Lytechinus pictus: one gene and its partners. The protein of the gene in region 3 purifies or fractionates together with the protein of the main gene of each other region. This does not show direct contact. Links are inferred from orthologs where the notes say so. Each region holds a gene or a part of one and is shown on either strand. Other genes may lie near its edges. The genes, in order: protein CLEC16A-like, calcyclin-binding protein-like and E3 ubiquitin-protein ligase NRDP1-like.

The links.
Region 1: the proteins of E3 ubiquitin-protein ligase NRDP1-like (region 3) and protein CLEC16A-like purify together in Homo sapiens (affinity purification with mass spectrometry; 3 studies listed by BioGRID and IntAct, with this or other methods). This does not show direct contact. The link is inferred for Lytechinus pictus from reciprocal best matches to the Homo sapiens genes RNF41 and CLEC16A.
Region 2: the proteins of E3 ubiquitin-protein ligase NRDP1-like (region 3) and calcyclin-binding protein-like purify together in Homo sapiens (affinity purification with mass spectrometry; 4 studies listed by BioGRID and IntAct, with this or other methods). This does not show direct contact. The link is inferred for Lytechinus pictus from reciprocal best matches to the Homo sapiens genes RNF41 and CACYBP.

The regions. Positions count from the first base shown.
Region 1 is NC_087254.1:30,668,231-30,675,457, reverse strand, and holds the start of protein CLEC16A-like, read right to left. Parts: upstream 3,052-7,227; 5' UTR 3,038-3,051; coding exon 2,928-3,037; intron 2,633-2,927; coding exon 2,499-2,632; intron 1,082-2,498; coding exon 1,014-1,081; intron 93-1,013; coding exon 12-92; intron 1-11. UniProt on the Homo sapiens protein: Regulator of mitophagy through the upstream regulation of the RNF41/NRDP1-PRKN pathway. Mitophagy is a selective form of autophagy necessary for mitochondrial quality control.
Region 2 is NC_087252.1:32,821,991-32,829,286, forward strand, and holds the start of calcyclin-binding protein-like, read right to left. Parts: upstream 3,273-7,296; 5' UTR 3,163-3,272; coding exon 3,151-3,162; intron 1-3,150. UniProt on the Homo sapiens protein: May be involved in calcium-dependent ubiquitination and subsequent proteasomal degradation of target proteins. Probably serves as a molecular bridge in ubiquitin E3 complexes. Participates in the ubiquitin-mediated degradation of beta-catenin (CTNNB1).
Region 3 is NC_087245.1:11,896,699-11,904,903, forward strand, and holds the start of E3 ubiquitin-protein ligase NRDP1-like, read left to right. Parts: upstream 1-5,043; 5' UTR 5,044-5,164; intron 5,165-8,205. UniProt on the Homo sapiens protein: Acts as E3 ubiquitin-protein ligase and regulates the degradation of target proteins. Polyubiquitinates MYD88. Negatively regulates MYD88-dependent production of pro-inflammatory cytokines.

The DNA of each region.
Region 1 (7,227 bases), on a different chromosome or scaffold from region 3:
TACAAACTTACCTCATTGTAGAAGAAGTGGATGGTATGTTTGTTGAGCTTGAAGGATAGAGTCTTCAAGAAGGAGATGTAGTATGCTAGCACCTGAAGCAGAGAAAGAATGAAAATCAAAATCAGAGCGCTGTATGATCCAGGAATAAGATAAATACAAACTTTGGTGGGTGTTTCATAGCTGTTAGTTACGCACAACTTCAGACTTGTGACATGGTCTCGTGCTGAAATTTTCTTGTTTAGATAGTGGTAGTAAATTTCAATAATTAAATGAAAAAGTGCACTTGGCATTCAGATGCTTGTTATCAACATGAATTTGAATCGAAATAGATTGGATTTTAACTTCGCAATGAATCACAATCTTTGAGAACCTTTATACGTAATAGCACATAATAACAGGCAACCAGTCACATGTATTATAGTCATTCAAAACTTACAAACAGCTTCATGAAATATCTTGTGGGTTGTAAAGCCTCACAAGGTGGTTCAATTGGGACTCCAAAGTAGTAAGGCATGACATATTTTTGTGAATTTGATTATGAATGATAGAGGCTTTGTCATTTCTATTGTGTTAAATATGCTTAACTTTTTTAGTGCTTTTCCTGACCAAGTTTTAATATCTTATCATAATCAATACTTAATTTGCAAAGCTTGTTGTTGATCACTTTTCTTACCATTGCAATGCCAGTTACAAAATTATCTCATGATCTACACATGGCTATTGTAGACAGGAAATATAAACCAAGATTGCAAAGAAAATATATAATATACATAATACTCAATATTTCATTTCAAAAAAGAAAAAAAAAACTATGCATACAACTGACATTTTTTGCCAAACATTTGTTTGCTCACTTTGTATTGGAGTCTGCAAATATATTTGTTTTAAAACAGAAATGACACCATACATCACATTACAGATATTAAGGGAATAGCATATAAAATGAAACATTATCCTCAATATGAAGTAGATTGCATGTAGAGATGGAGTAACATATGATTAGGGTAACTTACTTCCTCATCGGAGAAGTCAAACTTGTGGACGATGATTGAGTTGACATGGTTATTGGACAGAAGATAATCTGATAAATTCACAAGAAAAAAAACTCAATTATTATTTTCTTGTTTTTTTTTTAAGTTATATTTTATGTACAAGTAAAAAGATAAAGGAACAGAGGGCAAATTAAAAATCATCATATCATTTGCCTGTCTCCTTTATATATCATTCATAACTAAGATTAATTATAATTGTATATTTTCATGTTCCATAATACATGAATGTACACATGATCAAGATGGCAAATCAAAACTAGATTGTACTACCTCCATTTTCACATTTACAATGTGTTTATGTCACTGATTTTGTTCATTCCTCTGAGGTGTTGAATTATTGTTTTAGCAGCCCAAACATGGAGTAGTGTGTGCAGTGCTTTGTAACCAAAAGGAAAAAAGGTCCTACATCAAATGACTACTGGATTGGATTGCATCATTATGTTACATGTTTGTTTGTGCTTTTTTTAAATCAATTCAATAAGTTGTAATAAATGCAACAATATATCCTCAAACTCAAAATATTCTAAAGTGTGTACTAAAATCTCGTATACGTACTGAAAATATGTGTCCATCGTAAATTGCTGATCTGCCACCCCCATTATCTACTTTCCCTTGCATCCATCCTACATGGTCTAATCCTTGTTTGTCTACAACCAGTTCATCTTCTAACTATTTGGTCTAATTGCCATTTAGTCTAATTTCCAGTTAGGACATAGTCTACCCATTTCATCTGATATCTAGTATTAATACCACTTTGGTCTAATATGGTTAGATGAAAATGATCATGAGCCAAATTATCATCACAGTAATAAGCAGACGATTTTACTACTCAGTGGACATGAGACTGTGTAGTGTAAAACCAAGTGGCAACTAGACCACTACAACAGTCTAATTGCAAGTTGCAAGCCCAGCGCTTTCCCCCACGTCCGCACGTACTCCACAAGTACCGCCGCACACCGAGTGAACACTCACTCCTGAAGACGGACAGTCAACCTGCCCGAAATGTCGAGTCTCTACTGCTTCTACTCATCATCTCTACTCGCCGACTTAAGCCAGCATCTCCTCATCCATCCTACTACTCAAGCTGTTTTCAACTCATCAATCTCTTCTGGTTTACAGTCCTTTTCAGGACTACATTCAAGAAAGGTTACTCTACTCTCAAATTTCCACTTTCTCGCCTATCCATTTCTTTTCTTCTTCTATCCACTGTTTCTATAACACTCCACATGGTGTACCGTAAACCACATCAGCGATTGTACATGCCACCATGCAAACCTTCAAACAACATCTAGACCAAATTGATATAGCAGACCAAACACATGTTAATGTAGTATTAGAATATCTGAGAAGCAGAGCAACTGCTGGTACTGGTAGACATAGTTTACTCTTATATTAGGCTGTCAACCTTATATTCACTATATTATATAAAAATATTTAAAAACTCACATAAGGATGTTTCATTTCGTATATTCTCAAAGAGGATGTTAAGAGTCTGGAGAAGCTGAACACAGATGTAGCTTCCTGTCTTCTGTCGTAAAATCTTCAAGAAAAACAACAACATGTTTTTCTCCAAGAAGAAACTGTAAGGAATGAATAAAGAAGAAGTTATTTTCACTATTATAATGTCACTACACTTATGACAATGGAATTAATAATAACCTTCACAAATTAGAGATGTAGAAAAAATGGGAAAGAAATGCATTAGGTTACTTTTTTTTTACTCAAGCCCTGCACACTCCAACTCTGCACATCTGATTTGTCGACTAAAAACCTATTCCTCTCCTAATATTAATTTGACAGCTGAATACTTCGAAAGTCATTATTTTCTTCATTCTCCTTACAAATTTTCTTGCTCCCATTTGGAACCAAACTTACTCAAAGACGGAGCTGTCATTCTGATCTCCCCAGATGAGGATCTCTGACATGGATCTCAATGTCTCCACCAGGAGGCTTCTGTTTTGCTCTGTTACCGTGGCATTCCGCATCAGTACTCCATGGAGCAGCCTACAGAACAAACAAAGAAAAATGTACATCTATCATATATTTTTTTACCTTGTACTATTTTTTAAATAATGCCCACTATGATCACCATTATCACAAGAAAACAATAATCTACAATGTCACTTTTTCATAAGCTCAGTAAGACCAGAAGAAACAAAACAGATTCCTTCCTGCATTAAAAAATGCACATGTATATTTCTCATCTTGCCATTTTAGAATTTCAATCAACAGCAGGCCTACCTCCGCAGCACTTGGCAAACATACATGTAAACTTAATTTTATAATTTATTCAAAGAGAATGTTAATAGATCTATGCTTTCATTGTGATGTCATAAATCTCAGCTTGGCCAATTTCAAGACATAAAAAATACATGAATGCATACATGTTGTTTGATACTGTACATTAAAAATAATTTGATACAATATTTCAATACTGATTTCTGCTTATGAGAAATTGCATTGAACAGCACTGCAATCAGGCCTGTATGTGTTTATTTTAAAGCCATGTCCCCTCTTTCTGCAGAAGAGGTACTGGCAGCTTGTCCAAATAAAGGAATCTCTAAGGTATAGATTGTAATAAACAGAGTGTGATAACAAAATCTGAGGGCATTATTAAATATTCAGGGAGAACGTTCCAAGAGATTGGGAGAAAGAGAGTGATGATGCATGATTGGTGGAAGAGGGATGGCGATAGATATACATACTGTAATTTTGTAAATGATTTAATGGAGTAATATGATACATGTGTCACATAAGGAGCTATTAACATTGCATGCATAATCAATGATACTTCACAAAATTGAGTCTTTTAAGGGACAATATCCTAGATTTCATGATCGATTGGATTTACATATTGATAGAATATTTTCTTAATTAAAACTGTCTCATCATAAAAAGGGGAGGTATGACAGAAAGAAGAGGGTGGGGATACAAATCCAATCTAAAAAAAATAAATCTTTAACAGCAATCTTGATTCATGATCACCATGGACATCATCATTAAGGTCATCACCATCCTCCTCCAAAATCAATCACATCAACGTTCTGATTGTCATATCATCAACATCATTATCATCATCATCATCACCACCACCATCATCATCATCATCACCACCACCATCACCATGCACTACTACCACCATGATCATAATCATCATCATCACCATGATCATAACCACCATCAATCTAAATTCATGATCACCGTGGACATTATCATCAAGACCATCACCATCCTCCTCTTAATCAATCAATAACATCAACATCATCATCATCAACATCATCACCACCACCATCATCATGATCATCAACAACTTCAACATCATCATTATCACCTTCATATCATTAATGTCATTATCTTCATCTTCACCATCACCACCACCATCTCATTTGTCACAACCATCATCACCACTCCATCTACCTTCACTATCTCTCAACAAACTCTTGTCACTCCAAGCAGAATAAATCTGATCATCTTTCTCACTCCTAATCACGATGCGCTGCATAATATCAGTATTCAATCTATTCATCTGCAGCTACCCTCAGGTACAAGAAAGGAAATCCTTTATTCGCATCCATTATAAGCCCTGCAAATCACATGGCAATGCCGAGGGTACCATGTAAAATCAATATCTCTCAGCTCAGGCTGAATGGTACAAGACTTTATCATTTTAAAGAAGCACTCTACACGTACATGCATGTAGAATGCATAATATGAAGATTATTAAAACTTAATTGAAACAAGCTCCAACCATGTTCATCTACCACAAATCAATGGGGGAAATTTGTGATATTTAAACTTTACAAATAGTTTCCTTTTTTTTCTCGACAGTACTGCCTGTTTCATGTATGTTTATCAAAACTAATATGTACTATAAACCATGGGGCAATTTTACCAGCTAAATTCATTTTTCAATCACAAATTGATAAATTTCGATGCTTGATCACACTTCACACAAAGTACTGTATATACATGTATGTAATGTAGGCCTAGATGTTCAAAACAGATCAAGGTGTTTGAAAGTGATTAACAGAAAAAGTCCTTATATAAATCAGCAATAACTGTTTTCTTCCCTTTACAAGGCAAACACTCAATTATCAAAAACTGAAAACAAAATAAACACCAATATTCAGACAAACTGAGATTCCCACACCCTACCCGATTCTTTAGGCCTCCGATTTGCCTGCATTGTACTTTGGCCAATAATTCCTGGGTCAAATCAATTCATTATTGATGAAAAATATCACTTCCACGGAGGACAGTGATTTGAGATTCAATATTCAAGTAGGCATCGGATTAATGTAGGATGTCATAAAGCTTGGATCATTACATATTCATTGATCTGAAACATAATTCAGAATTCTTCCCCCTCAAGATAGCATACGGTGTAAAGTGATTTTCTAACACAAAAAAAGTGACCTGTATGACTCCAATGAGCATGAATTTGCTTGATGTTTGACTTTCATGTTCTTTCATATCCCTAATTTCTTACTTCTATTCTTTTTCTAAAAAAAAATATTTTCAATGAAATAATTAGGTCAAAATAGCTAAATTTTATCACAACAAGGTAAAATGGAAAATGTTACTTCATCCAGTAAAATCTGACCAAATTTGAAGGATATGTGAAAAAAACCCAATACTTTGATCGATGTCTTATCAGGTTACCATTGTGATGCAGCAAGGTGCCTGGTAGAAATTCATGTTTACATTGCTCCGTGCTCTGCTAGGGTTGTACACACATAATCAATGAATGTGTAGACTACCAGCATACGTATAGAGAATGTTGGGTAGAAAATCTGCCCCAGAACTTGAATCATAATATATACACTATACATGCAGTTATGCCTCTCTATTTCACAAAACTCCAGTATTCCCTTCTCCATATAAAATCTTTAACACACGATCAGGAAGAGGAAAAGTAACATCCGACAATAACAAGTGGAACGACTCTGGCAGTCTCGCCTGCATTACGCAATGCGATATAGCAGCAGTGCTTCTTTTGAAAATAGCTAATGAATATTATTCACAGAAAAAAACACTAATATGATAATAAAATATTATGCCCATTGACCCAAAATGACCTTTGACCATGAGACCAAAGACATGTGCAAAACAATCATTCATACTTGATAACTAGGTCCATATACTTTTTAAGTTATGATGAAATTTCAAAAATTTAACCTTGGTTAAAGTTGAATTAAGAAGACGATTCCAAATATTGAGATATTTACATTAATAGCAACCTTACAACCCCCCAAACACTAAGAGGTGATTCGACCCCCCATTTTCTTTTTTCAAAATAGTGAATTTGAACGATTTATCCCTACCCATTTTCCCTGAGTTGGCTCCTGCAATGCCTACCGAGACGGGTGTTCTTTGACTGTGACGTCACGGGGGTCCCGTTGTAGTAAACAAGGCAGTGCCGTTTTGTGTACTATGCAAGTACGCCTTCATATTTACTTTTGTGTCAAATTTCATTTTATCGCTATTGATTTTATGTGAACGATACTGAAAGGAAGTAATAATTATTCAAAGACATATAGTCAATAATATATCCCTACATTGTTAAAACTGTTCTTCTTTGTAGCGATTTTAGACGATTTTAATGCCTTGTTTACGTTCGGGACTGTGTCCGTGGCGAAACTAGTCATAATGGAATAAACTGCAGTTGAAGTTGTATCTGCGAGCCGGAGAACTTGCAAAGAGGAAATGATTAAAAGTATATTTATGGCCGTACTATTATTCCAAATATGTAAATTCCCTCAGAATGATACCATAGACCCTAAAGGAATAATTTCAAGGCGAATAATATGAAATGCGATCGAGATCTTCTCACCAGTCGATAACATAGCAGACGTGTTATTATGACATATTTATCCGCGTGTGACGCGGCTCTTGCAAAAAATACGGTTGGTTGCGGAATCGCATTGTGCCGACCGGCCGCCCGCTCCGGCTCAGCTAGCTGTCGAGCTACCGTACCGCATACCTTTCTTGCTGTCTTCAACTCACTTGCGAATTGCGTTTGTATGTGTGACGATAAACTCTAGCGTAATTAAATATAGAGAACAACTCGGAAGGCCGAGAAGAATAGTACGTTTGATTCAAGATTGTTCTGTGGAATGAGCTATGAGTGGAAATGATCCAGAGGATATAAAAAAGGAGTCAAAGACAAAAGGAA
Region 2 (7,296 bases), on a different chromosome or scaffold from region 3:
AATACACTTATAGAGATATGATGGCAATTCAACAAATACCCCCAACGTGGCCAAAGTTCTTTGACCTTACATGACCTTTGACCTTGATCATGTGACCTGTAACTCGCACAGGATGTTCAGTGATACTTGATTACTATTATGTCCAAGTTTCATGAATCAGATCCATAAACTTTCAAAGTTATGATGGTAATTCAACAGATACCCCCAATTCGGCCAAAGTTCATTGACCCTAAATGACCTTTGACCTTGGTCATGTGATGTGAAACTCATGCAGGATGTTTAGTGATACTTGATTAACCTTATGTATAAGTTTCATGAACTAGGTCCATATATTTTCTAAGTTATGATGACATTTCAAAAACTTAACCTTAGGTTAAGATTTTGATGTTGATTCCCCCAACATGGTCTAAGTTCATTGACCCTAAATGACCTTTGACCTTGGTCATGTGACATGAAACTCAGGCAGGATGTTCAGTAATACTTGATTAACCTTATGGCCAAGTTTCATGAACTAGGTCCATACACTTTCTAAGTTATGCTGTCATTTCAAAAACTTAACCTCAGGTTAAGATTTGGTGTTGACGCCGCCGCCGCCGCCGTCGGAAAAGCGGCGCCTATAGTCTCACTCTGCTATGCAGGTGAGACAAAAATTAAGTAGTGCAAAGGTGAATTCATTTAAAGTTTATTATGGAAATAGCAGAAAAAAATAATTTGAAAAATTGGTATGTGTTCGAGGAAAATCCATCCCCCACCCAAAAAAAAAAATTCAAGGTGAGATTTTAAAAAATATTATTTGTGACGGCGTAGGCCTATGCGAGCAGCTTTAGGATATAATTATGGTAAAAAAAAGTAAATGAAATGTCAAGAAATACATGATAATGACTTTTATTGTACATTCAGTATTTCAATAGATAACTTCATACCCCTACTCGTTCCAAAAAGAAAAAAAGTGGGTCATTACGGACCTTTAAAAATGGGAAATTTTGGCATTTTATATTACATAGAATATAGAGCAACTGTTTGTTTATGGCGTCACAAATCAAGCATTTGAAATTCTATTAACTCCAATTTAAAAAAAAAAATAACACCTTCACCGATATTTTGAAATTATTTTTCTTATTATCGCAATATTTTTATCAAGGTGAAATTCCCCTTTAATTTACAAAACAGTATCAGCATGATCAGTGTGAAGCGGTAAAGCATTCACCTGATAAGTATAGACCTATCTATAATTCATGCGGCACGCAGCGCGTGCGGCAATGTTTAATAACATATTGCTGTGAATAGAATGAATGTCATTAAAAACATAATCTCACAGATCAAATAATGCCAGCTCGACGCTCGAGCTGAAAAAATGTATTTTGTGCCCTGATAATTTTTAACCCTAACCTAACCCAATTTCTAAGTATTTTTTCATCATAAACGGGATAACTATAGACAATTGATTGAAAACTTTATATTCTTTTGCGGAAATGAATATGAAGGACAACTTTTCAGAACACAGCCCGGAACACAGTTTTGGAGCGTTAGAGTGCGATTTATACGGATTTATACCTACAACCGCTAAATCCTCATGAAGCAGTTGGAACATTTAGTCCTGATTCAATCAGCTTAATAATTTTTGCAACAGGCGCCAGTCCAACAAACAGACAAACATTTGCCCAAACGGACAACATCTTAACCTCTGCTCATTTCTTTTTGCACGGGCACATAAAATCTCGACCTACCCATCACTTTTCTCACTATTTTCTCCTCCCTTTTATTTTCCATTAATTTATCTTTCGTTCACTTTATTTCTGTCCTCTTTTCCCTTCTATTTTTTTCTTGTCTCATTGCTTTTCCTCATCCCCCAGCCCCCGACGCCCGTGCAGATTCGCAAACAATATCAAGAGTAGTGTTAGGCAAGGGTGGAAATCTCTCCCCAAAGGTAGGGGGACTAGGGGCTGGAAAATTTGACAAGCCAAAAAAAAAAAAAGGTTTATCACCCCAATTAAAAGAAGGTCATCTTGACCAAAAGAAATTTGACAAGCAAACAAGCCCCCCCCCAAAAAAAAAGGGCACCCCAAAAGTAAGATCGTCTCTTCCAAAATACATGTTTTATTTCGATTTTGAATTAAAAGACCAAAAATAGTAGAGGGGCATTTCATAATGTGCCCCCGACTATTTTGGGTGAGGGGGACATGGGAATTGCGCCCATGTGGGTGGGGGTGATGCGCCTCTCTTTCGGAATCATTATGGAAGAGTGTAAATACGAGTTCGCTGTGATTTCGATCTCATAGTCATAGTATTCATACCTATAAAAAAAAAATAGAACAGCTACGCCTTGAACACACAGGCAAAAATGCCTAGCGATTTCTCCGCGGCATTAACAACTCTCGTAAGGGGCGCTCCATTTATAAATAAAGTTGCATATGTAGCTGTCTACCGCGACAGGAGCAGTTGCAGAATTGAAGCCAGAAGCGTGGGAAATTGCCAGAAAATTCAAGAAAAGAACCGGTGGGTACCGATTTAACAGTACTAATTTATTAAGTAACATTTATTGAATCATAAGATTAGAATATTTATTTTTTAGTAAAACAAAGCTTAGTTCTAAGCTAGGGCGCCCCAAATGCGTGTGAGTGGAGTCCCAGTTTATTAACACGGGTAAGTATTGGGGTGTCGCCTAGAGTGGCCTAAGCCCTAACGTACGTTAGATTGGGTCTAACGTTAGCGGCCTATTTATCATGTCTATTTATTTGGCACACTGACTAGTTTCTAGTAAATTCATAATGATGTATGTAAGGAACGTTCCCAACTGAAACAAGATTTTGTGAAATAAAAATAAATTCAAGTTAAATCTTAACTCAAATCCGTTAGGTGCAAAGACCACCATCAATCATATACATCCTGATCCAAAAAATCACGGAACCGTGATAACTAGCCATTCACTTGCACGCGTAATTAATTACACACGATGAAGAATCGGTAAGCCGACATGGCTCGGTGGAGTGTGGGAATTCCCCATTATCCGATATATTGCGCAACGCGAATGTATCGTGCAATTGTAAATCAATGCCCGAAAAAGCACCGTCAAACGAATGGTCGCTCCTCTAATAAAATACCTTTACTTTAGTCTCAAGTAGCCAAATTATAAAAGTAATATATCTCTACCTCACTAGCCATCTTGACAAAAACTTCAGAAGATTCGTACGTTGTCGTAATGTTGCAAGTATAAACCCTCGCCTCGAGATATAGATATATATATATAGATGCACGTTTTAATTCTACGATCGCTGATTAGTCTTTCTTCAAAGGGCTAAGGGCGTCGAGATTCCTGACAAAAAGTTTATTGTAAGAATAGCGGAAAAATATTCGAAATATTGGTGCATGTGTATAGATTATAGATATATTAAATATTTTAAAAAGTTATCAATTTAATATGCGTATTTTTTTTTCATTTGTGACTTCACAGGTGATGATCGAGCCCCGGATCGAGCAGTCTCCCCCATTAGCTGCTGCAGAAGCACTAATAGGCCTACTATAGTTCATTACATGAGTATATATCTCTATGGTTCATTATAACTTCCTTCAATTCAAATATTCTTACATGGTAGCTGAAAAAATAATAACAAGTTAAAATAGATTGTCAACGTTATTTGAGTTGTAAATCACGTCATCTACATTACAGAGTAGAGAAATTAACAAAAGAAGGAAAGAGTGAATATATAAGAATTTGAATGAAAAAGACTGACAGTAATGAAAAGGAAAAGAGATAGGGATTTAAATTCAAAAATTGTTTTATTTTCCGCTTTCAATTTCAAATTCATATTTACAATAGTATTATGATGAAGAATATACAAACATTGATAACATTACAACATTACCAATGATAAGGGATTGAGGGCTAACTGGAAATTAAGGGAGAAAAGTTAAGTTTTGAATGAAATATATGTGAAAAGCAAGTTTGATCTTTTTTGAGTCCGGGTTATATGAGCAAGGAGAAATTTTCATGTAGTGCTCATTTCGAGACCATTTTTTTTTTTCATACGAGGTAAACAGGCTGCATAGTCCTGGAAATTATCTGTGTGGGCGTTTTTAACAAATATTTAATAAATTATATTATATTCTTAATTAAGTACCGCGGTATATTATTTTTAGTTCAAGAAAACAGGGAATATTGCCAAACGTACAGAAAGTGACACATTTGATTAAAGGACAAGTCCACCCCAACAAAAACTTGATTTGAATAAAAAGAGAAAAATTCAACAAGCATAACACTGAAAATTTCATCAAAATCGGATGTAAAATAAAAAAGTTATGGCATTTTAAAGTTTCGCTTATTTTCAACAAAATAGTTATATGAACGAGCCAGTTACATCCAAATGAGAGAGTTGATGACATCACTCACTCACTATTTCTTTTGTATTGTATTATATGAAATATGAAATATTTTTATTTTCTCGACATTGTCATGTGAAATGAAGTTTCATTCCTCCCTGAACTCGTGGGATTCCATTATTTTAACATTTTGTGCTTCAGGCAAGGAGGTCCTAATCGTCAAATTCGTAAAAATTGAAATATTGTATAATTCAAACAATAAAAAACAAAAGAAATAGTGAGTGAGTGACATCATCGACTCTCTCATTTGGGTGTAACTGGCTCGTTCATATAACTATTTTGTTGAAAATAAGCGAAACTTTGAAATGTCATAACTTTCTTATTTTACATTCGATTTTGATGAAATTTTCAGCATTGTGCTTGTCTGATTTTTCTCTATTAATTCAAATCAACATTGTTCTGAGGTGAACTTGACCTTTAAAGAATATAGAGATACGGAATATCAAATAGAGTTTAAAATTAGGGGAAGCTGATGGGGTGCACTTAAGAAAATGGGAACAAATCAATGCATATACCTTTCTTAATACTATGGATGTGTTGGTTAATTGCTTCATTTTTGTTTTAGTTTTGTTTATTTGTTCAAATACAGATAGTTGTACCAGGGCAGAATGTATCGTGTATGGATACATGTGTAGATGGATGTGTTATTTGAGTTGTAAATCACGTCATCTACATTACAGAGTAGAGAAATTAACAAAAGAAGGAAAGAGTGAATATATAAGAATTTGAATGAAAAAGACTGACAGTAATGAAAAGGAAAAGAGATAGGGATTTAAATTCAAAAATTGTTTTATTTTCCGCTTTCAATTTCAAATTCATATTTACAATAGTATTATGATGAAGAATATACAAACATTGATAACATTACAACATTACCAATGATAAGGGATTGAGGGCTAACTGGAAATTAAGGGAGAAAAGTTAAGTTTTGAATGAAATATATGTGAAAAGCAAGTTTGATCTTTTTTGAGTCCGGGTTATATGAGCAAGGAGAAATTTTCATGTAGTGCTCATTTCGAGACCATTTTTTTTTTTCATACGAGGTAAACAGGCTGCATAGTCCTGGAAATTATCTGTGTGGGCGTTTTTAACAAATATTTAATAAATTATATTATATTCTTAATTAAGTACCGCGGTATATTATTTTTAGTTCAAGAAAACAGGGAATATTGCCAAACGTACAGAAAGTGACACATTTGATTAAAGGACAAGTCCACCCCAACAAAAACTTGATTTGAATAAAAAGAGAAAAATTCAACAAGCATAACACTGAAAATTTCATCAAAATCGGATGTAAAATAAAAAAGTTATGGCATTTTAAAGTTTCGCTTATTTTCAACAAAATAGTTATATGAACGAGCCAGTTACATCCAAATGAGAGAGTTGATGACATCACTCACTCACTATTTCTTTTGTATTGTATTATATGAAATATGAAATATTTTTATTTTCTCGACATTGTCATGTGAAATGAAGTTTCATTCCTCCCTGAACTCGTGGGATTCCATTATTTTAACATTTTGTGCTTCAGGCAAGGAGGTCCTAATCGTCAAATTCGTAAAAATTGAAATATTGTATAATTCAAACAATAAAAAACAAAAGAAATAGTGAGTGAGTGACATCATCGACTCTCTCATTTGGGTGTAACTGGCTCGTTCATATAACTATTTTGTTGAAAATAAGCGAAACTTTGAAATGTCATAACTTTCTTATTTTACATTCGATTTTGATGAAATTTTCAGCATTGTGCTTGTCTGATTTTTCTCTATTAATTCAAATCAACATTGTTCTGAGGTGAACTTGACCTTTAAAGAATATAGAGATACGGAATATCAAATAGAGTTTAAAATTAGGGGAAGCTGATGGGGTGCACTTAAGAAAATGGGAACAAATCAATGCATATACCTTTCTTAATACTATGGATGTGTTGGTTAATTGCTTCATTTTTGTTTTAGTTTTGTTTATTTGTTCAAATACAGATAGTTGTACCAGGGCAGAATGTATCGTGTATGGATACATGTGTAGATGGATGTGTTATTTGAGTTGTAAATCACGTCATCTACATTACAGAGTAGAGAAATTAACAAAAGAAGGAAAGAGTGAATATATAAGAATTTGAATGAAAAAGACTGACAGTAATGAAAAGGAAAAGAGATAGGGATTTAAATTCAAAAATTGTTTTATTTTCCGCTTTCAATTTCAAATTCATATTTACAATAGTATTATGATGAAGAATATACAAACATTGATAACATTACAACATTACCAATGATAAGGGATTGAGGGCTAACTGGAAATTAAGGGAGAAAAGTTAAGTTTTGAATGAAATATATGTGAAAAGCAAGTTTGATCTTTTTTGAGTCCGGGTTATATGAGCAAGGAGAAATTTTCATGTAGTGCTCATTTCGAGACCATTTTTTTTTTCATACGAGGTAAACAGGCTGCATAGTCCTGGAAATTATCTGTGTGGGCGTTTTTAACAAATATTTAATAAATTATATTATATTCTTAATTAAGTACCGCGGTATATTATTTTTAGTTCAAGAAAACAGGGAATATTGCCAAACGTACAGAAAGTGACACATTTGATTAAAGGACAAGTCCACCCCAACAAAAACTTGATTTGAATAAAAAGAGAAAAATTCAACAAGCATAACACTGAAAATTTCATCAAAATCGGATGTAAAATAAAAAAGTTATGGCATTTTAAAGTTTCGCTTATTTTCAACAAAATAGTTATATGAACGAGCCAGTTACATCCAAATGAGAGAGTTGATGACATCACTCACTCACTATTTCTTTTGTATTGTATTATATGAAATATGAAATATTTTTATTTTCTCGACATTGTCATGTGAAATGAAGTTTCATTCCTCCCTGAACTCGTGGGATTCCATTATTTTAACATTTTGTGCTTCA
Region 3 (8,205 bases):
TGTCCCTCACTCACTATTTCTTTTGTTTATTGTTTGAATTATACAATATTTCATTTATTGTAGATTTGACAATAAGGACCAACTTGACTGAATCATATAGTATCAATCAATGCTCATTCCACATGTTCAGAGAGGAATTAATCATTGTATTTGTTTCACTTGACAATGAGGAGAAAAATAGAATATTCCCCATTTCATATAATGAAATACAAAAGAAATAGTGAGTGGATGACATCATCAGTCTCCTCATTTGCATACCCACCAGGATGTGCATATAACTGTTTTGTAAAATTAAGCAAAACTTTAAAATGTCGTAACTTTCTTATTTTACATCCGTTTTTGATGAAATTTTCAGTGTTATGCTTGTTCGATTTTTCTCTTTTTATTCAAATCAATATTTTATTGGGGTGGACTTGTCCTTTAAATAGACCTAATAATTCTTCTATAAATTGTTCTCCAAAACGACACCTCATAACGTAGCTCATCGTACATGTAGCTACATCGTAACAAAGTGAGTCAAGCCTATTGTAGGAATGGGGGGGGGGTCCGGTGTCCAGACATTTTAAAATTTTGAAACCTTCTTTTTTTGTCTTTGGATTGCACAAAAAATATGAATTCAATAGTGGTAACTATTTTAGTTTTGTTCTTTATGATATTGCTTAAGACTTTGCACAAAAACATTTTAATTTTTTTTTTCTCCTCGTACACAGACGGCTCTCTATCGTGCAGCCACCATTAGGGGTTAACAATGCAAAAATCCCCCCGACGGGGCTCATCAATTTTTGTCTTTATTTCATAAAAATATATAAAAAGAAATGTACCAAAATGAAGATTATTATATTATTCAGTTTTGGCCTGAAAGGCACCAAAATGGGGGAAAATAAACTTAAAAGGGGATAAAACAGTGATTTACTTTGGCTGTCGCGCAACTTCACTTCCCTGTTAGCTGTTTTATCCGAACTTAAATACATAAATAAACATATATGGCCATTGCCATTGTCCCTGAAGAAAGTGTACGTGTAGGCTGTACAGATCGAGCTAGAACTTCGGTCTCTGTGTGATGTGAGTGGAGCCAACGCAGAGTTCAGCGGAACAACCAACATAACAGAGACCCAAGCTTTTGGTCTACACGTCCCTGTAAGTTGTAACACCTATATATGTGAGTGCCCCCCCCCCCCCCCCCCCCCCCGCGGATCGGTCCAACATACCAGTAGTTGGTACAAGATCTCACGGATCCCGTCGGCCTAGAAAGATCTAGAAACATGCACATGCTCCCTAACGACAATCACACACATGACACACATTCAACTTCTATGTGGCAGCCCGATCCGAGTGCGCGACACAGGGACCAGACCGTAACCATAAAATGCGAACTAAAATAACAACACAGTCAATTGCTGTGAAAGTTTTACATAATATAAAAGCAAATTCTACTTCACGACTCTTACTCTTGATTAGTTTCCATTCCATTTTCTTGAGGCGTTTCGGATGTATCAGTGGTTTGAAAATCCGTCTCGTTTCCAGTCGGGTCACCCATTTTCGTCAGATATATCGGAATTGATTCTCGATAAGGTATCTACAATAGGACCAATGAATGAACAAAATTCTAACGAAGTTTCAAATCAGGGGGATTTCAAAGTACTTCCTTTTAGTTCCTCCAAATGCCTTGATCCAGGATTTGCAGGAATATTTGCACCTAAGACATTGGAGGAGAATATGGACCCATGCTTAAGGCCAGTATCTAAAAATTAGGGCCATGTTTAGGGATTTTCCAGCATAAAACCGTACCCCATGTTTAGGGACTAAAAAAAGGCGACCCATTCTCGGTACATCCCCGTATGCCTTATTTCCATCCCCCCCAGTACCCTCCCCCGGGGTCTTAACATTTGTAAGAAATATTCAACAAAATAATTTGGCAGAACTGTTTCTATACCTATTGAATAATATTTTTTCAGTCAAACTTCAACAGGAAATAACCGTCTGTTAATTCTGGTAGTATTTAAAAAAATAACAAATTCTGACATTTTCTATCACAGATCAAGTGTATAGCCAACAATGCATGCAGCGGGAGCCGGAGCGGAACAACCAATGATTGTACGGAGATTCGAGGTCAATCCTAGGGAAGCAAGGGGAGTATACCCCCCCCCCCCCCCCCGAGGCGGAAATCTCTCCCAAAAGGTAGGGGGACAAGGGGCTGGAAAATTTGACAAGCAAAAAAAAAAACGTTATCACCCCAAGTTTAAGGTAATTTCGACGAAAATAAATTTGACAAGCAAAAAAAAAGAAAAAAAAAAAAAGGATATCATCCCAAAAGTAAGGTCATCTCGTCCTAAAATACATGTTTTATTTTGATTTTGAATGATGTATTTCTTACCATCATAAAAGACCAAAAATAGTAGGGGGACATTTGATATTTTGAGTAGGGGGGACACGCCCCCCCCCCTGTCCCCCCCTGGGATTTCCGCCCATGCCCCCCCCCCCAAAAAAAAAAAAAAAAAAAAAAAAAACAAAAAACACCCACAAATTCACTTTTCAGTTGGGGGCGGCAGAACAAAGTTGAAAGGGGGAGGGGCCACCGACCGTGAGGCCGGGGGACAGGGCACTATCTTAAAACAAAGGGGGGGAAACGACTTATCTATCCCCCTCACATGACTCATGAAACTTAAGGCATTATTCTCACAATATTTTTCCTTCATAAAAATGAGAATATTGTTTTCGTAATTGTTTCTTACCAATGATGCTGTTATTGAACACATATACGTTTTCTCCTGCGCAGCGTTTTGTATTGAATAAGAACAGCCTCGTATTCCTCGAGATAATTATATGTGAAATTCATCACTTTAAAGTATCAGGAACACTTGTTCAAAAGGAAACTGGAAGCCATCAGAACATCATTGACTAAACATTTTGAACAAATGGCTCATAAATGGGGCATTTCAATATTATAAGGGCGTATTAGAATAGGGCATTTCATTAGAGATAAAAAGGGATAAATTTCATTATCAAAAAAAAAAGAAGAAGCAAAAGGGGCCAATCATTTTTTTTGTATTAGTATTTATAAAATCATTCAGTTCAAAATCATACAAGTAATACTAGTATATCAACAAAACACTGTTCACAAAGTCAAATAATTATTCATAATACAAACAATTGTACAAAAAAATACAAAATATAACATTCAAATCATCACAAAGTAAATTTGTAAAAAATAAAAAAAAATACAAATGTAACAAAAACCCGGAACAAAAAAGAATTTATAGCGACGCAATTGAACTGAATGAGTATTAGAAGTAAAACACCCTCCCATCCCACCCCCCCCCCCATATCCCATCCAAGCCCAGCCTAAGCGCGGCCTGTTTCCCTCCCCTAAACCCCAGCTAAAAGGCCTTCATTTCAATCTGCATTCTGTACCGCTGCAACCATGCATGATCTAACTTGCGCACCTGAATCTTCACTCTAAATGCAAAAGAGCCACTCCGGCCCCCAATCACACCCCTCCCAAAGAGAGATATAAAAGACTAATAGAAACTCCAGAAGCGGGATCCATATCCCAAGAGCGCGCCATAGCTCTGGAGCGAACAGCGTATATCTATTTTTTATATATATATTTTTTTTTTTACATTTTCACTCCAGAAGGAACCACAATGCACCCCAAAGACTCAAAGCACACCACAAAATGACTGCCCCGATCCACTCCAAGACTGAGTGCGACTACAGGGACCAGACCATCTCCCTCGCATTTAGAGTGTTTAAAGGGGAATCCAACCCAAATAAAAACTTGTTTTTATAAGAAAAAGACAAGTTGATAGGTGAAAGTTTGAACAATATTGGACAAACAACAAGAAAGTTATGAATTTTTAAAATTTGTAAATATTGGTAATCACTATATACTCATGGAGACTTCAAATTGGCCGCATATGGGATGTCATATATAGTGATGTAAGGCAAGGACTACTCTTCCATGTACTTCAATACATATTCTGGCTAAAATGTCATTTTTCCCAAAAGTTTTATTTCAAATTATATTTTTCTTTCATGAGGACATAAAACAATATACTACCTGGGTTATATTTAGATTACTGCCCCAGGGGAATGGGTACTTAGGAGAAAACCACAAATCCCTGATAATAAAGTACATGGCCTATGGGAAAGTTGTCCTTGCCCCTTGTCATAATTCACTTACTCAGTTGCCAATATGAAATCTATACATGCACATACTATTAGTGATCTCAATTTTAAAGCAGCTATAACTTTCTTATTGCTTGTCCGATTTCTTTCAAACTTTCACTATTCTGTTAAGTTTAGTTTTCTCCTTCCCAACACAACATTTTATGGCCAAGGCTGGATTCCCCTTTAATAACTGTATGCTTGAAACTTTCTTTGCCCCAGCATCCCTAAAAAATAAATTTGTCCCATTTTCTGAAATGGTTTGTTAATAGACCTCTCTGTTAAGCTAGTTTTCTTTCTTCTATGAAAGAAAGAAAGAAAGAAAGAACGGAAAGAAAGAAAGAAAGAAAGAAAGAAAGAAAGCGAAAGAAAGAAAAGGAGGAAAGAGGAGAAAAAAGGGAAAGAAAAAACATAGAGAGAAGAAAGGTACAAATGGAAATATCCCACATTGCCCAGCGCATGTTCGAGAGTCCATCACTAAAGCAGGGGCTAAAGCAGGGGCCGCGGAACGGTTTTCAAAGTGGGGGGGGGGGGGGCTGACCATTCAAAAATCACAATCGTATGGTAATTTCTTAATTTTTTTACACGGTTTTGGGAAAAAGTGAGGGGGGGGGGCTGAAGCCCCCCCCCCCCCCCGACCAAGAATGAAGGAGAAAATAAAGCAGGCGCGGATCTAGCTTTTTTCCAAGAGGGAATTTGACCGAGAAATTTGAAAAAAAGGGGGGTTCACTACAAAAGAAGGTCATTTTGGTAGCTAGAAATTTGAAAAGCACAAAAAAGGAGTTGGCTCCAAAGGGGGGGGGGGGGGGTAAACCCCCAACACACTGCCGTGTGTTGCTGTCCTCTACGTTCGTTGGGAGTACCCATATGCCATACGTGTATTTCCAGTTCAGTGATTTACATGTACGAAACCATTTCCTGAAAACACTGGCCAGTAAAAACATCTATTTTACTGATTCTCTACGAAATGACGTGGTCGAAGAAATGGATGTTGGGTGTAGGTAAATTTCATAATTTCAATTTTATTCTGGTGTTAGTAATGATATGTTTTCATCGATTATGAAATATATAAATAAATATAACGAAAATTATATTTTGGCGAATTTGGGTAAAGAAGTTAACTCGCAGAGTCGCAGGCTCGGCTGGGATCGTGCTATGAAACACACGGTAACTCCTGGAGCTCCAATGGGAAATAATAAGATGGCAAATATAGCGATCTTCAACGCTTATATATAAGCGTCGAAATTTGTAGCCATCTCCTTGTATTAGTCTATAATATACGACGTGTCAAATTGTAGCGAACTAGTTCGCCATTTCCAGATCTCCTCTATATATATATATACGAGGGGGAATTGTAGCGAACTAGTTCGCTATTTTCCAGATCTCCTCTATATACAAACGACGGGAAATTGTAGCGAACTAGTTCGCTATTTTTCGGATCTCCTCGATATATACACGAGGGGAATTGTAGCGAACTAGTTCGCTATTTTCCAGATCTCCTCTATATACAAACGACGGGAAATTGTAGCGAACTAGTTCGCTATTTTTCGGATCTCCTCGATATATACACAAGGGGAATTGTAGCGAACTAGTTCGCTATTTTCCAGATCTCCTCTATATACATACTACGGGATTTGTAGCGAACTATATACGAGGGGGCATTGTAGCGAACTACTTCGCTATTTTTTTGATCTCCTCTATATATACACCAGGGGGGAATTGTAGCAAACTAGTTCGCTATTTTTCGGATCTCCTCTACATGTATACGACAGGAAATTGTTGCAAACTAGTTCGCCATTTCTCATCTCCTCTCTAAAATATAAACATGGCAAACTGTAGCGAACTAGTTGGCAATTTTTCTGATCTCTTCATATACACGAGGGGGAAATTGTAGCGAACTAGTTGTCATTTTTTCCAAAGCTTACATTATTGTGAAGGCTTCAAAGTGAAAATCTGCAGGTTTTGGCTGTATATATTGATGCCATATTGTCAAATTGTAGCAGACTAGTTCGCTATTTTCCAGATCTCCTCTATATATATATACGAGGGGGAATTGTAGCGAACCAGTTCGCTATTTTCCAGATCTCCTCTATATCCATACGACGGGATTTGTAGCTAACTAGTTCGCTACTTTTCGGATCTCCTCTATAAAATTATATACACGAGGGGGAATTGTAGCGAACTAGTTCGCTACAATTCCGTCTCTTGTATATATAAAGATTAGAAAAATAGCGAACTAGTTCACTAATTCCTCCTCGTGTATAAAATTTTATAGAGGAGATCCGAAAAATAGCAAACTAGTTCGCTACAATTTTCCGTCGTATATATAAAGAGGAGATCCAAAAAATAGCGAACTAGTTCGCTACAAAAGAAGAGATCCGAAAAATAGCGAACTAGTTCGCTATAATTTCCCGTCGTATATATCGTCGGCGTTCATCCGAACCGTCGTATCAGTCAATTTTGGTCAAAAAATCGATTTTGAGATATTTGCAGAAAATTAATGTACAAGTCCTATTCTATTCATAAATTAATTTCTAGGCAGCAATTTATTTTAGTTTGTGAGATATGATGGAATTTTCACGGCGATGACATACAATTTTTTAATAAAATGCGCAAATCCCATTGGAAACGTCTACTGTAACAGAGCGATACGACGTTTTGACTGACCGCGATTTCAGTGCGCGCGGTCAACCAAGCTGTCGTATCGGCCATCTGCGCTGCATTGACTTTGCACGTGAAAAGCGATACGACGTTTTGACTGACCGCGCGCATTCAAATCGCGGTCAGGGTTGTTGTTTTCCCTATGGCGTTTTCGTACAGGGGAAATCTAAACCACTCAAACCGAAATTACAAGCACGGAGTTCTTTTGAGATATTTTCTATAATCCTTGGTTTTGTGCAAAGATAAGGATACCATTGTCAAGCAATTATCTTGGTCTTTCCAACCATGTATTTTTCTAGCAATGAATATGTTGTAAGCCCGGAGAACTAAGTGTGAAAATCATAGTAACTTTGAAGTCGATTTTCTCTGAAATGGGTTTTCAACCGTCGTATGTGGATACGACGGTTCGGATGACCGCCGACGAATATATAAAGAGGAGATCCAAAAAATAGCGAACTAGTTCGCTACAAAAGAAGAGATCCGAAAAATAGCGAACTAGTTCGCTATAATTTCCCGTCGTATATATATAAAGAGGAGATCTGGAAAATAGCGAACTAGTTCGCTATGATTTCCCGTCGTATATATAGGGAGAGGAAATCCGAAAAATAGCGAACAAATCCCGTAGTATGTATCTAGAGGAGATCTGGAAAATAGCGAACTAGTTCGCTACAATTCCCCCTCGTGTATATATCGAGGAGATCCGAAAAATAGCGAACTAGTTCGCTACAATTTTCTGTCGTATATAGAGGAGATCCGAAAAATAGCGAACTAGTTCGCTACAAAAGAAGAGATCCGAAAAATAGCGAACTAGTTCGCTACAATTTCCCGTCGTATATATATATAGAGGAGATCTGGAAAATAGCGAACTAGTTCGCTACAATTTCCCGTCGTATATATATATAGAGGAAATCCGAAAAATAGCGAACTAGTTCGCTACAAATCCCGTAGTATGTATCTAGAGGAGATCTGGAAAATAGCGAACTAGTTCGCTACAATTCCCCCTCGTGTATATATCGAGGAGATCCGAAAAATAGCGAACTAGTTCGCTACAATTTTCTGTCGTATATAGAGGAGATCCGAAAAATAGCGAACTAGTTCGCTACAAAAGAAGAGATCCGAAAAATAGCGAACTAGTTCGCTACAATTTCCCGTCGTATATATATATAGAGGAGATCTGGAAAATAGCGAACTAGTTCGCTACAATTTCCCGTCGTATATATATATAGAGGAAATCCGAAAAATAGCGAACTAGTTCGCTACAAATCCCGTAGTATGTATCTAGAGGAGATCTGGAAAATAGCGAACTAGTTCGCTACAATTCCCCCTCGTGTATATATATCGAGGAGATCCGAAAAATAGCGAACTAGTTCGCTACAA